Arabidopsis thaliana: one gene and its partners. The protein of the gene in region 2 interacts with the protein of the main gene of each other region in a pairwise test. Each region holds a gene or a part of one and is shown on either strand. Other genes may lie near its edges.

What was found. The genes of interacting proteins can lie anywhere in the genome.
Region 1: the proteins of GDU2 (region 2) and ECA1 interact in a protein complementation assay, tested with the Arabidopsis thaliana proteins (one large-scale study listed by BioGRID).
Region 3: the proteins of GDU2 (region 2) and PHT4;3 interact in a protein complementation assay, tested with the Arabidopsis thaliana proteins (one large-scale study listed by BioGRID).

What each region holds. Positions count from the first base shown.
Region 1 is NC_003070.9:2,414,453-2,421,334, forward strand, and holds ECA1 (ER-type Ca2+-ATPase 1), read left to right. Parts: upstream 1-1,725; 5' UTR 1,726-1,870; intron 1,871-2,158; 5' UTR 2,159-2,228; coding exon 2,229-3,641; intron 3,642-3,762; coding exon 3,763-3,829; intron 3,830-3,921; coding exon 3,922-4,043; intron 4,044-4,194; coding exon 4,195-4,476; intron 4,477-4,557; coding exon 4,558-4,935; intron 4,936-5,014; coding exon 5,015-5,124; intron 5,125-5,224; coding exon 5,225-5,453; intron 5,454-5,535; coding exon 5,536-6,120; 3' UTR 6,121-6,377; downstream 6,378-6,882. Other genes in the region: AT1G07795 (forkhead box protein G1), read left to right, coding at 1-342.
Region 2 is NC_003075.7:13,114,201-13,117,472, reverse strand, and holds GDU2 (glutamine dumper 2), read right to left. Parts: upstream 1,446-3,272; 5' UTR 1,325-1,445; coding exon 935-1,324; 3' UTR 518-934; downstream 1-517. UniProt on the Arabidopsis thaliana protein: Probable subunit of an amino acid transporter involved in the regulation of the amino acid metabolism. Stimulates amino acid export by activating nonselective amino acid facilitators.
Region 3 is NC_003074.8:17,306,094-17,311,736, reverse strand, and holds PHT4;3 (phosphate transporter 4;3), read left to right. Parts: upstream 1-1,668; 5' UTR 1,669-1,693; coding exon 1,694-2,299; exon of another isoform or gene 2,300-2,411; coding exon 2,412-2,638; intron 2,639-2,726; exon of another isoform or gene 2,727-2,746; coding exon 2,747-3,110; intron 3,111-3,274; coding exon 3,275-3,319; intron 3,320-3,404; coding exon 3,405-3,551; intron 3,552-3,713; coding exon 3,714-3,851; intron 3,852-3,927; coding exon 3,928-3,961; intron 3,962-4,141; coding exon 4,142-4,321; intron 4,322-4,435; coding exon of another isoform or gene 4,436-4,438; coding exon 4,439-4,443; 3' UTR 4,444-5,138; downstream 5,139-5,643. Other genes in the region: PHS2 (alpha-glucan phosphorylase 2), read left to right, coding at 5,626-5,643. UniProt on the Arabidopsis thaliana protein: Inorganic phosphate and probable anion transporter.

The DNA of each region.
Region 1 (6,882 bases), on a different chromosome or scaffold from region 2:
CCATCGCTAATGGAGCCGTTTCTACGGAGTGTCTCTGACCGTTGGCCGGTCATCGCTCAGGCTGCCACGTGGACGGTGCTTCTAATGTTCACGGTGGCCGTCGCTTCGTTTGCTCCGGAGATGGCTTTTGTGTCTACGGTGTCGTCTTCGTGCGGAGGAGGAGATGGTTTCGTGAAGATTCCGATGGATTTTGCAGGGGAGAGTATATGCGTGCCGTCTAATATGGTGAAGAGATCGCGTTTTGATTTGTTTGTGCCTTCGATTTTCGCGGCGGTTATGGTCACTGCTTCGGCTTGTTTGATCCGATCATGTATTGGCACGGAGAATGTGGATGATTTTTAATAAACACTTGTAAATTAATTAATAATCTTGTATTCAGTTACTACATAACATCCACCATTTTGTTATTCCAAATCACGACATTATATTAAGCTGCGTCGTAGAATAGTTGACATTTGTCAGTGTTAACCCAACAATTTGATCTGTTATGTTATCCACGACCCAAAATCACAACTAAACAATTTGACATTCCGTTTTGCCATCGTCCGGTTTTAAATCACCATCAAATTAGTAATTAGTCAAGTGATCATGACAAATGCCGAGAGATACAGGAGACATTTGTGTGATTCTGAGGTTTGTCAGGTTTGCAAAGGGGGAGTGGAGACTATCTTGCATGTTCTTAGAGACTGCCCTTCGATGTCGGGAATATGGAGCAGGATTGTTCCTAGGAGGAAACAACAAGCGTTCTTTACGAAGTCATTATTTGAGTGGCTCTTTGAGAATCTCTGTGAGCAGGTTAACGTGGAAGAGGGGCCTTGGTCCACGATGTTTGCACTAGCAGTTTGGTGGGGGTGGAAGTGGAGGTGCGGTAATATTTTTGGTGAGAATAGAAGGTGTCGGGACAGGGTACGCTTTGTGAGGGATTTGGCGAAGGAGGTTTCAGCAGCTAATCAACAGTTGGTCACTCAGGGAGGTCGACGCTCGCGCGTAGAGATTCTGGTAGGGTGGGAGAAACCGTTGCTTGGCTGGTTGACAGTTAATACGGATGGGGATTCGCGTGGGAATCCGGGTTTAGCTGCTGCAGGAGGAGTATTACGAGATCATGAGGGAAGGTGGTGCGGAGGTTTTTCTTTGAATATAGGGAGATGTTCGGCACCAATGGCGGAATTATGGGGAGTTTATTACGGACTCCATTTCGCATGGGAGAGGAAAGCACCGCAGGTAGTGTTGGAGGTGGATTCTGCGATAGTTGTGGAGTTCTTGAGGACAGGGATAAGTGATCATCACCCGTTGTCTTTCCTGGTACGATTGTGCCATGGCTTTTTATCGAAGGACTGGATAGTCCGAATTGTTCACGTGTATAGGGAGGCTAATCGTCTTGCGGATAGATTAGCAAACTATGCTTTTTCTTTAGCTTTTGGTTTGCACTTTTTTTACTCTATTCCGAATGTTGTTGAGTTACTTTGGCGAGAGGATGACCTTGGGATAGTTTGCCCAAGACAGATCCCAGAACGGTAATTTTTAGTTTTAAGTTTGAATAAAAACGGGGGGCTCTTTGCCGCCCGGTCACTTACCAAAAAAAAAAATAACCTACTTTATAAACATTTTAACCAAAACGTTTTGTGACCTATCATGATAATTTGGTCTGCAACATATGTCAACGTAAAGTTTATAGGCCCAAAGACGATCAATATTAGAATGAGTAGTAGCACTTATACTTGAAACAGTGACCCATTGGGCTTAAACAGCATCTTTTTGAATCACTGGTTTTTTTAATTAATAAGAGGAGTTATCAGAGAGACGTCAGAGAACGTCCCTGCGATTGCTTGCAGCGGGAAGTTTCTTTCTCTCTAGCTCCGGATTTGCTTTGGTATGTTACTACTTCACAATCTTCAACTCCATTGATTGTATCCTTGATTGCGATTTGCTCCTACTATGTAATCGTTCTCTTGTCTCAGATCTAAATTTAAGCTCATCTTTGAATTTTAGTCTGGGACTGAGATTCTCTCTATAGATTCGTCGATCCAGTCTTATTCCTTTGTAATTTGTTTGAGATGATGATGATTATGTTGCTACAGTTTTATAATTGAGTATCTTAGAGTGAAGTTTTTCTAATTTCTCAGCTATTCAGAGGATCTAATTTTTTAATAATTTGCAGTCGAAAACCGTAAGCTTTGGCGAGTTTCCGGGAGAATTTGACGAATCTGTTTTGCAACGAGTGAGAATTCATGGGGAAAGGATCAGAAGACCTTGTGAAGAAGGAAAGCTTAAATTCTACACCTGTAAATTCGGATACGTTTCCTGCTTGGGCTAAAGATGTCGCGGAATGTGAAGAACATTTCGTTGTTAGTCGTGAGAAAGGTTTGAGTAGTGATGAGGTGTTGAAGCGGCATCAGATCTATGGTTTGAATGAGTTAGAGAAGCCTGAGGGTACTTCTATTTTTAAGCTGATTTTGGAGCAGTTTAATGATACATTGGTTCGTATTCTTTTGGCGGCTGCTGTTATTTCCTTTGTCTTGGCCTTCTTTGATGGCGACGAAGGTGGTGAGATGGGTATCACTGCATTTGTTGAGCCGCTTGTTATTTTTCTCATCTTAATTGTTAATGCCATTGTTGGCATCTGGCAAGAAACTAATGCTGAGAAGGCGTTGGAAGCTTTGAAAGAGATTCAGTCTCAGCAAGCAACTGTCATGCGTGATGGGACTAAGGTTTCCAGTTTGCCTGCAAAGGAGCTTGTTCCTGGTGATATTGTGGAACTGAGGGTTGGTGATAAGGTACCTGCTGATATGCGTGTGGTTGCTTTGATCAGTTCAACTTTGAGAGTCGAGCAGGGGTCCTTAACAGGAGAGAGTGAGGCAGTGAGCAAAACCACCAAGCACGTGGATGAGAATGCTGATATTCAAGGAAAGAAATGCATGGTGTTTGCAGGAACCACTGTCGTGAATGGGAACTGCATATGTTTAGTTACAGATACTGGGATGAATACTGAGATTGGAAGGGTTCACTCACAGATCCAGGAAGCTGCACAACACGAGGAAGATACCCCTCTGAAGAAAAAACTTAACGAGTTTGGGGAAGTTCTGACTATGATCATTGGGTTAATTTGTGCGTTAGTGTGGCTCATCAATGTCAAATACTTTCTGTCATGGGAGTATGTTGATGGCTGGCCCAGAAACTTTAAGTTCTCCTTCGAGAAGTGCACATATTACTTTGAGATTGCTGTTGCACTGGCGGTTGCTGCAATTCCTGAAGGTCTGCCAGCAGTTATTACCACATGTTTGGCTCTTGGCACACGGAAGATGGCTCAGAAGAATGCTCTGGTTAGGAAGCTACCCAGTGTGGAGACTCTTGGATGCACCACCGTGATATGCTCTGACAAAACTGGAACTCTCACAACCAATCAGATGGCTGTTTCTAAGCTCGTTGCTATGGGTTCGAGGATCGGTACTCTTCGATCTTTCAATGTTGAGGGGACCTCGTTTGATCCTCGAGATGGAAAGATTGAAGATTGGCCAATGGGTCGGATGGATGCAAATCTTCAGATGATTGCAAAAATTGCTGCCATTTGCAACGATGCTAATGTCGAGCAATCTGATCAGCAATTTGTGTCTAGGGGCATGCCTACTGAGGCAGCTTTGAAGGTAAAGCGGTCTACTACACTAGCTTGCACCTTTCTCTTCTTAACTAAATTGACTAAGAAAACTCTATTCGTTGTCCTTAGTTGATGTTTCTTTCTATTGGTGTGTGTGTTTATTTGAACAGGTTTTGGTTGAGAAAATGGGATTTCCCGAAGGATTGAATGAAGCTTCGTCCGATGGCGATGTCTTACGTATGTATTCTGAACTATATCTGTTACTTATGTTTATGCAGTTTTACAGATGCCTAACCTCCTGCACTTTTCCTTTTTTAACATTATTGAAGGTTGTTGTCGGCTATGGAGTGAACTAGAACAACGGATTGCCACCCTTGAGTTTGACCGTGACCGGAAATCAATGGGAGTTATGGTGGATTCCAGCTCAGGAAACAAACTGCTACTGGTCAAGGTCTGTTTGTCATCATTGATCATATCCTGACTCCTGGGGTCGAACGTGGGAAATCAAGTGGCTTCTGCTTTGGTTCTTGCATGTTATTAGTCGATAAAACCATTGTCCCCTCTTTTTCAGCACCTAAGAGACCAATTTTGAAATTATGCAGGGTGCGGTAGAAAATGTATTGGAAAGGAGTACACATATTCAGCTACTTGATGGTTCAAAACGAGAGCTTGACCAATACTCAAGGGATCTGATTTTACAAAGCCTACGTGATATGTCCTTGAGTGCATTAAGATGTCTCGGATTTGCTTACTCAGATGTTCCATCAGATTTTGCCACTTATGATGGCAGTGAAGACCATCCTGCTCACCAGCAACTTCTCAACCCATCCAATTATTCATCAATTGAGTCCAATCTAATATTCGTTGGATTTGTTGGTTTAAGGGTGAGTTACTGTGATATTGTTTTGGTTCTTTCTAGTTCCTCATTAATAAATATTGATGCTCGACCTTTTTAATGATTGAAGGATCCTCCAAGGAAAGAGGTGCGTCAAGCCATTGCAGATTGCAGAACAGCAGGTATTCGGGTCATGGTCATTACTGGAGACAACAAGAGCACAGCGGAAGCGATCTGCCGTGAAATTGGCGTATTTGAAGCAGATGAAGATATCTCCTCAAGAAGCTTGACGGGAATAGAATTTATGGATGTTCAAGATCAGAAGAATCATCTACGACAGACTGGAGGGCTCCTGTTCTCAAGGGCTGAACCAAAACACAAACAAGAGATTGTCAGGTTACTGAAAGAAGATGGAGAAGTGGTTGCCATGACTGGAGACGGAGTCAATGATGCTCCTGCTCTGAAGTTGGCTGATATTGGTGTGGCTATGGGCATTTCCGGCACAGAGGTACTGTTTCTCTTCTCTCATCTTCAATTCCGGATGATGATAGCTCTATCAGCTTTCTAAAGCTCTGGGCATTTTGCAGGTAGCAAAGGAGGCATCTGACATGGTTTTGGCAGATGATAATTTCAGCACCATTGTTGCAGCTGTAGGTGAAGGCAGGTCCATCTATAACAACATGAAGGCCTTCATCAGGTGAGTCTTCTACTATCACATATATATATATATGCCTATTCGTATTGATGGCTTGAGTTATACATACTAAGCCTATATATATGACTATGATGAATAAAAGGTACATGATCTCTTCCAACATCGGCGAGGTTGCATCGATATTTTTGACAGCTGCTCTTGGAATCCCAGAAGGCATGATCCCGGTTCAGCTTCTGTGGGTAAATCTCGTAACAGACGGTCCTCCAGCTACTGCTTTGGGGTTCAACCCCCCTGACAAAGATATTATGAAAAAGCCTCCTCGTAGGAGCGATGACTCGCTTATCACTGCCTGGATCCTCTTCCGCTATATGGTATGCAAAAATCGATTTGTCTCTCTCTCTCTCTTGTTCATCGTATGGGGCATTTCTGACTATTATGGATACCTACCTACAGGTGATTGGTCTGTACGTGGGAGTAGCAACGGTGGGAGTATTCATCATATGGTACACACACAGTAGCTTCATGGGCATAGACTTGAGCCAAGACGGTCACAGCCTTGTGAGCTATTCACAGCTCGCACATTGGGGCCAATGCTCTTCATGGGAAGGCTTCAAAGTGTCTCCTTTCACAGCAGGCTCTCAGACTTTCTCGTTCGACTCAAACCCTTGCGACTATTTCCAGCAGGGGAAAATCAAGGCGTCCACACTCTCCCTCTCGGTGTTGGTGGCCATTGAAATGTTCAACTCCCTGAACGCACTCTCAGAAGACGGCAGCCTGGTAACGATGCCGCCGTGGGTGAACCCGTGGTTACTCCTGGCTATGGCTGTCTCATTCGGGCTCCACTTTGTGATACTGTACGTGCCATTCCTGGCTCAGGTATTTGGGATAGTGCCACTGAGCTTGAACGAGTGGCTGCTGGTACTGGCTGTTTCGCTTCCAGTGATTCTTATAGACGAAGTGCTCAAGTTTGTAGGAAGGTGTACGAGTGGCTACCGCTACTCACCTCGCACTCTTTCCACGAAGCAAAAGGAGGAGTAAGAAATAAATCAAAAGCATTATATTATTAGACTCTTAGTTTTAGCTGAAATTAGCGTTGTTACTTACCTCGGCGTTGGTTATTTAATTTTCTAAAACGATAATTTTTGGTTTGATAAAAATGTTCTAACTTGCTTCTCATTTGGTTCACGGACAAAGAGCCTGAAATAGATGAATGTTTCAACAAAGCCCTTCATTTTTATGCTTCCTAAGTTATGTGCTAGATAGATCTCTCTTTCTGCAATATTGACTGCTTCCAAATCAATATAATTCATGGATGAAATATTGATGAATGTTTCACCCAAGCCTTCATTGTTGGGTGATTTGATTTTGTGTACTCAGATCAGAGTAAAGATACATTCTCCTTCACGTGAGACAGAGTAATCTAGTTGTTTTCTGTTTAGTTCCCCTTCCTGCAATATTGACTGCTTCCAAAGTTCCAAGTCTATAGATTATAAAAAACGAACTCATAGCAGAATTCAACTGTAATTTATCAATTATCATTAATTGCTTAGTTGATTGAATCCTGATCTTACGAGTACCAATGAAGATAGGGTGAAATGTAGCTCTGTTTCTCGATTCAACATGAATCTTCCCAGAAGCTTTGGGATTACAGTTAAAAATGGTAAAAAACCAGGAGACAAGATATCGAGTAAATTGTTCATCCTCATTAGATTTTCTTAGCTTTAAGTTTGCAAAGATTTTCAACTACACCGCATTGGCTAACAACGACATCACAATAGAAAACAAAAGCAGTAGCTAACA
Region 2 (3,272 bases):
CATCATTTGCGAGCTCGTTTGTTTTGACACGTTCACATAATAAACATAGTAGGAATTGGACAAGAAAACGAAAGGACGTAAACACATGACACAACCAGTGACCAATTGCCCATACTAGAAAAACAATTATTCAGTTAGTTGCAGTAGTCTCCATCCATTATATGTGTCACTGTTCACATTGTACTGATCATCCAAAAGACGACAATTTATTGTCCAACGATAAACGATAATGCTTTCAATTTCAGTGAATGGTAAACAATGATAAATGGATATGCCTGGAAAAGAAAAAAAGAGAGAAATGTATAGTTGAGAGGCTATTTGTTCTTTGATAAAACTTGATGATATTTAGTAATATATCTAGAAATTTAGGAATAAAGGTACAAAGAGAATAATTCTCAACTTCGGTTCGCCACAACGAATTAGCTTAATATTCGGCATGCGTCATTGTTGGCACATCACTAGAAGTTTTCACAACACATCTCTTTCCCTCTTTCGTAAGCATCATGTCTGTACATCTCTCACTGGGAAAACATTTTTGTCTCTCTATACACGAAAACTGAATTAAGGACGCACGATTTTAGTTGTATCTTTTATTTATTTTGTCTGTCAAGCTTCAGTTCTATCTTTAATCGCTAGTCCAAAACAATCATCTATTCAAACTCTTAAAATTTACATGTACCGGATATTCCTTCATGAACCATAAACGGGAAAAATTTGAAGAAAACTGAGACAACCAAAAAAAAACTAAAACCATACGAAATAAATAAAACTCTAATTTATATCCCATCAGCTCACGTAAGGTTGGCGTAATTATGAACCGACACAAAAAGACCGGACGGATCGATTCCGGAGTACTCCGTAACGAATGCTCTGTTTTCAAAATATGAGGGAGGGCTCACCGTAACCTCCGGTGCTCTGCTATACCACCTGATCACTACCCTCTTCTTCCTTCTTCTTCGTTATGATCGCCGCAAGTACAGCTTTGCTCAGACCGAGTCGCTGGCGTAGCCAAGTAAGTAGGTCTGACATCACCGGCCATTATGACGAGAAACTTCTCCGGCATTTCTGTGTGCTTAGTTTTGTTGGTGTCATTGTCGGGTTTGGCATCATCTCCGGCCTCAAGATCTCTCTCAGCGGAGCCGGAGAGTCTCCAGTAGGAACATGCGAGGATGAGAAGAGCGACGCAGATGAGAGCCAACATGGCGGCCAAACCACCGAAGAGATAAGGAACCGGAGAGTGCCAAGGCGAGTGAGGCACCACCATGGAGGAGCTCGCGTTTATGCTGTCTTGGTAATTATATTGTCGTCCTTCCATTGTCTGCATGTGTGTTTTACTGTTTGGGAAGAGTGAATGAAATGAAAGTTTTCTTTGTTAAAAAAGTAATTAATTTATTGGTGGGAGATGAGATTGTGTTGTGAGAGGCGTTTTATAGAGGAACGTATGGGATGGATTGTTTCTTAATGCAATGGATTTGTGTATGGTTCAGTTTTCAGTATTTTTTTGGAATGTATGAAAAAAGTCAGTATTCATTATTTGTACTTTGTAGAGTGAGTATTAACGAAATTATTTTTTAGGGAATCATCTTCCATAATGGAGTAAACAATTGATTGGTTTTTGATATAGAGATGTAGTTTTTTTTTGCATTTATACTTACATGAATAATTTTTTAATCAACCTCAAAAATGATATTAGTTTAACGTGGTGGCTCAATGAAGACATTTGTAAAATCATGTATATTTCCTTCTTTTGGATGTTAATTTGAACTTGTATTAAGTTGGTTTTCTTATTTTTTTCATAATTGTTTTGTTTAATATATCCGTCTTTAGTACTTTAATAAAGTTTAAATTTTTATTGGTGGCTTTTAATTAATAGTATCTTTTAAATGCAATAATGGATAGAGGTTAATTAAAGTTAAGAATTATTTAATAATCTTGTTACGGCAATTTGCACATTAACCTAACTGTTGAACTAACTAACCTCTTTGTTTTGGCTAATCAGTTTTTATTACTTTGCTTAATTAGGTTAAACTCAAGATTTAATATCATTTAGGAGTTTCAACTCAAAACTATTTTCAATGCCATTTATACACTATATATGGAGTTCTTAACAATATGTATAAAACTGTAAGAACTATATACAGTAAAGGGTATTTAAAAAACTTCTGGTTAGATAAAGTAATAGAGCGAGTAGTGCAATTGGAGGGGTAGGTTCTCAGCGTCAGCTTCCACCATGACTAAAGGAAAAACGGATATTCCATTAGTTTCCAATCACTTTCACTTACGTTCTCCATTTCCACATTCTTCCTCTTCCATTTTCTTTAATTTCTTCATTCGTACTTTAAGATCATTGTTTAATGTGTCCACTAGTATTACAGTAAGCAATAATATATCATTACGTCAACTAAAAGGAATTTCTAAGGCAGAACCTTTTTTAAAGCATCCAAACCCCCAAACAATGTTATGTGCGGTTAATATGCCAACACAATCACTAGTCGCTTACATTAATCTTTGGAGATAAGTTTTACTTTTAAATCCCCTCACTGTGTATATATTAGTTTTAAATTATTATGTGTGTGGGCTGTATAATTTATTCCCTGATCCGACTTAAATTCCGGATTTGATTTGTGTTTGTGCATGAATCATAGGGAATCATATTCTCGTTAAATAGGCACGTTACATGTGAAGATAATGTATAAAATAAATACATATACCTAGGAACCCATTATTTAGTTTCTCGAACAAACAGATTAAGTACGATAATTAAATATTGGAGTTCTATTCTTCTTCCTTTCCGGTAATTATTCTGCCAGACCAATTAGAATCGGTATGTTGATTGTTGAAAAGATTGATTGATGGGTGCTTCATTTTGTGCTTGGTTAACAATCAGAATACTTGCCCTCTTTACTTTTATTTCTTTTGAAATTTCCTAAGAAATCGTTTTCGGTGTTGAAAGAATTAACAAAGGTTCCAAATATCTCAACTTCTCAAGTCAGAGATTAGCTTTCATGTAGTTTTTCAAATTGTGTTTATTTCTTCATCTAATTACTTTTAAAGGTGGCTCGTTCAGTTTTTTTCAGAACTTATCTCCGTACATTCTAAAACTCATTTTTAGTTATCAAGATATTTTTCTTTCTCTTTAGATACGGATTAGTGAACTTGAGATAGGTATATCTAATTTAAATAGACAGCTTTATAGAGCTATGATGACACTTTTAAAAACTGATAGATATGCAACAAATATCATTATTGCATGCCTCACAGTTCACACATGT
Region 3 (5,643 bases), on a different chromosome or scaffold from region 2:
TGTATTAATTTTTATAAATAGTACAATTTTAAGTTTTCTTCACAAAAGTAATATTCAAAATTATTTTGGACATAAATAATACCTAAACAATTATTTTATTTTAAATTATTAAAATTAAAAAATTATAAAATACACAAATTCATCGCCAAATATTTCCGACAATATTTTTTCGAAAAAAAAATTTTTGTCCACAAAATATTTGAGTGCTATTGTTGTCATTTTTCCTTTATTTTTCTAGGTCACATCATTCTTTTGGGTATTTTTGTCAAAGATCTAATGTAAATTATCCATAACACTCTATAGTTAGTAAAAAAGTTCGTAAAAAATATTATTTACAAAAATAATCTTATATGAATACTCAAAAATTATGGTTTAATTACAATTTACATGCGTATCATAATTTTAATATAATAACATCATATTGAAGCAAATATTCGTAGAATTTACTTAAGTTTTTTTATATGAAAAGTATAAGTACCGTATATCTAGCCATTTTTCGTTAAAGAAAATGTGTTGTTTTTTGTTTTTGTATTGGATTGAATGGTAGCTATTATAATAGCGGTACAACTTTAACAGTTACCAATCACAATAACTTTATCAAAAGCGTTACAAAAAGTTTTACTCTCAGTTTTTTTATACAGATTTAGATTTATTATACAGCTTATTTTAACAGCTTTGCATTATTCCGATAAAACTAATAGCTAAAAAACTCGTACAACTTATAGTTACCAATCACATCCATTACCTTTTCTTACTTAATTATCGTAACAATAGAAAATGTGTTAATTTTGTATAACTGTCAATCAACAAATAAGTTAACACTTAACATAGCCCACCGTCAATATTTGGCCGTTTCTATGTGTCAACTCTTTGGATTCCATTCTAAATAGATAGGTCAAAGTCAACTTTTTCTATTTCATTGATTGAATATGTTTATCAGCAAATGAAATCTTGGTTTAATAATTGGATGATTTTGTTTTAATAATTCGTGTATGATATGCATAATTTGAATAATTGCGAATTTTAAAAGGAATCTATGGAGAATACGACTACAGTTAAAGTGACCAACACGAGTAACATAGAGATTCGGATCTACGACAAGTTCCCAAGAGAAGAAACTGTGTTCTTCAAAAAACATTAGTAAGTCCCGAAGCCAAGACAGTGTTTATTATATTTACTGTTTACCATTTTATACTTTTCTCTTTTTGTCGATATATACAGATTTACTGTGATTATTTTCATTTTCTGATAAAGATTGGAATCTTCCACGTGTTTACCCCAGATACAGTGACTGACAATTATTTTATTTTATTTTTTCCAAGGCATAATGAGAGTAAGATATTAGAAAAGATAAGGAATGCTCCTAAGAATTTCTGTTCAAACAACAAAGATTTTTTGGATAAATATGCACTAATACTTGTATATTTGGCACAACAACACGGTATTAAAGTCTAAACATTTTTATTTAATTATTTATGACATCTAAATTTTGAAAAAAAAAAGTTGTTTTACATATAATATTGGCTTTATTTCCAATTTAGCTCCTAACTTTCTATTTTCTCTCACAAAAGAGAAACCAAACAAGGTTTTGATTAATTTGTTTAGCTAAAAATAAATAAACTGCATTATACACTTCAAATCGTGCTAATTAGGAAGCCCAAATCATATGGAGGACGAGCCACTTTTACCACTTATGGGCCTGTTATTAGTGGCCCAAGACGAGACGGATGTCGGATCATGCGATTTGGCTGTTGCAATCCATAGACACCACCGAGCGAGCATCTTCTTCTTCTTCTTCGCTAACCGGAGTAATCGTAAGCAGCTTCGACTGGTGAAAATGTGTTACTCTCTCTCTATACAATCTTCAATTGACTTCCATAATCGAAACGCTCTAAAAATCCATGGAGATCGAGCAATTTTGACTTCGAACTTACCTACACTCAGGAGGATTCCGTTTTTGCCGGAGCGAGATCGCCGGAGAAAGTTGGTCCTCTGTACCGGGAGAGTCGTAAACTCATTGAAATTCACCGGAAACACTTCCGTCGATCTATGTGGTATTCCTCGTCATCGATTAAGAGTTTCTTGCAGCGATGCTCGCCGTACACCGGAAGAAACGGCGGCGGAGTTGACGGCGCAACCCAATTTTTCAGAATTTATAACGTCGGAGAGAGTCAAAGTGGTTGCGATGCTCGCGCTTGCTTTGGCGCTATGCAATGCGGATCGTGTTGTGATGTCCGTTGCGATTGTTCCTCTTTCGCTTTCTCGTGGATGGAGCAAATCATTTTCCGGTATCGTTCAGGTTATTCTTTCTCATTGATCGTTTGGGGAATTTTAGTATTAAGTCGTTCTACTGTATATCATTAATCATTGTTCTCGTTCGTCTCATAGTTTCTTGAATGTTTCTTTGGTAGTCATCGTTTCTATGGGGATACTTAATTTCTCCAATTGCTGGTGGAACTTTGGTGGACCGTTATGGTGGTAAAGTAGTCATGGCGTGGGGTGTGGCTTTGTGGTCGTTGGCAACTTTTCTTACCCCTTGGGCGGCTGATAGTTCTTTGTGGGCTCTTCTTGCTGCAAGAGCGATGGTTGGGGTTGCTGAAGGAGTGGCTCTTCCTTGTATGAACAACATGGTTGCGAGGTAGTGATGCTTTGTATTTTATTACTGCTTCAAATGTGATAAAGAGACACACACATGATCTGGTTACTGAAGTTTATTGGGTTCTTAGTGATAGTACTTTTGATGTAGATGGTTTCCCCCAACAGAACGTTCTAGGGCGGTTGGTATTGCAATGGCAGGGTTTCAGCTTGGGAATGTTGTAGGACTCATGTTGTCTCCTATTCTTATGTCTCAAGGAGGTATATATGGCCCATTTGTAATTTTTGGACTATCGGGGTTCCTTTGGTTGCTCGTGTGGCTCTCTGCAACGTCAAGTGCACCAGATCGACATCCTCAGATTACAAAGTCTGAACTTGAGTATATAAAGCAAAAGAAGCAAATATCTACTATGGAGAACAAACGAATTAGCACAAGTGGAATACCTCCTTTTGGACGCCTTCTCTCCAAGATGCCGACTTGGGCTGTTATAGTTGCAAATTCCATGCATAGCTGGGTATGTATACAGATTCCTCTCAATACAACTCTTTCATTCTTGTTACTATGAGGATTTCTTGTGGAAGGGAAATTGTTAGTACCAACTACTGTGACTTACAGTTATGATCAGGTGTTATCCTATTTGTTGGAATTCTTTGAACTGACTTAATGACTTATTTCCAGGGTTTCTTTGTGATTCTTTCATGGATGCCCATATACTTCAATTCAGTAAGGCCCTAGTACCAACATGTTCTTAATATAATCTTGTTCGTTTTAGTTCTCTTAAGAAATTTATAAGAATATTGTACCGCAGGTATATCATGTGAACCTCAAACAAGCTGCTTGGTTTAGTGCCGTTCCATGGAGTATGATGGCTTTCACAGGATACATTGCTGGTTTTTGGTCGGATTTGTTGATACGGCGTGGTACAAGCATCACCTTAACGCGAAAAATCATGCAGGTGCGTGATGTGTCACAAGATTTCATTCAATCAAGAGCTCTCTCAGACTGAAGAGTTCTGTAAACATATCCGAAAGATGTTGAAGCCTGATGCAATGAAATCTGGTGCATTCAGCATTCTTTTTCTTTTGCTGACTGGGGGATTTCATTTCTTGTTTGGCAGTCCATTGGTTTCATTGGTCCTGGAATTGCTCTCATTGGTCTAACGACGGCAAAACAACCTTTAGTGGCATCAGCCTGGCTTAGTTTAGCCGTTGGGCTTAAATCATTCAGCCATTTGGGGTTTCTTATTAATCTTCAGGTACCCAAGCGTGTGATTCATACCTAACCCAATACAAATGATGAGTATCTTTAACATTTATTCCCACTTGTTTCAGGAAATTGCTCCCGAATATTCCGGTGTTCTACATGGTATGCTTTCTAATTCTCCTTTAATAGACATTGGTTTCCAGAGTTTCCTATTGTTTTATCAAACACATATAGCTAATTTGTACCATCTGAGAAGGAATAAGCCTTAGACTCAATCAAATTTTTGTTGGGAATCTGGAAACATTTTTCCAAAAATCTCTAACCGTTTCTGCGCTGTTTTAGGAATGTGTCTTACTGCTGGGACATTAGCTGCGATAGTTGGCACAGTTGGAGCTGGTTTCTTTGTAGAACTATTGGGCTCCTTCCAGGGATTCATCCTTCTTACAGCAATATTGTATCTCCTTTCTGCTCTCTTTTACAACATATACGCAACTGGAGAAAGAGTAGATTTTGACACAACAGGTCCGTCCCTTCTCTTTTCTTGGGTTATGTTGTTTGCTTTACCTGTTCAGTTTCATTCATTTTGAATCAATGTTTTGCATAATTCTAATGGTATATATATGCTGGTCTTCTTAGCAGCTTGAAGGTGACCACAAAGTCACTTAATAGGTGGATCAGCTAGTAAAGAAGTTGCAACTCTATATAGAATCAGCTTTTGCTCTCCAAGTAAATACCAGGAACAAGACCTCGGCTTTGTACAGAAACTAGAATTTCTTCGTCTCGATGGTTCTCTCCTTGATAAATAAATGAAAAAATGTAGCAAGTTATCTATGTTCAATGTCGTGAATCGCCTTAGAGAAGATAATGAAAACAATGTTGACGTAGTATTTGTTTGTTATACGGTTCAATGGTATAGAGACACGAAGACTTTCATCAAATATTGTAATAGTTTTAGACTGAAAAACAGATTAAGGGCGGGCACAGAAGCAGAGAAAAGTGAAGTTACAGGTGCAGATCCGTGATTTGGGACCTTGAGGTTCTCGCACTTCTCTACCTCGTGATTTGCATACACACGTGTTCGTGCACCTCAGTCCTGGTAATAATTTCCCACTCTAGTCCTCTCATTACCGTATTGATACGTAAGCGAGCCACTACGTTTGGCTTTTTACTCAAATTGGTTACCTTTTTAATTCCTTTCGTTGCCAAAAGTTCAATTAAATTCCTTACAAATTACTTATTTTCTTTTGATGAATGTCCACATTGCGGTTACCAATATTTATTTCTAATTAAATTCTTAGAAAATGATCAATGGTCCCAAAATACGAAAACAATGGTGTTCTTTTTACATTGAAAATAATATTAAGGGTGTTGCTAACTAAAAAACAAATAGATGTGGGGGCTGCTTGTTAGATATTTTCAACAAAAAATACAAAAATGTTCTTCGGAGCTTCCTCTGACACACAAAAACTTCACTTCACTCTCTCTTTTCTTGTGATCCTCACATTTTCAATCACTAAATCAAATCGCCAAAACAAAAACAGAAAATCAAATATAAAACAATGAAAATTACGTTTCTGTCATTCACCTTCTGAAAAATATCTTACGCTTCTTTTTTAGTATATACTGATTCTCCGTAGTATCTTCTCCCTTATTAAGCTCTGAAGTGTTGGCTCATCTCTTTCCAGATTCCGGCTTCGAAATTTGGTAATTGCTCCATAATCTTCGGCACTACCTTGGTGAAATTGTATTCGAGTTTCACTATGATTTTGATTTTATTCGTGTTTAAGCAATTTTTGAATACTGTGGTTGTTTTAGGGAGATAAGCGATGGCAAACGCCAATGGA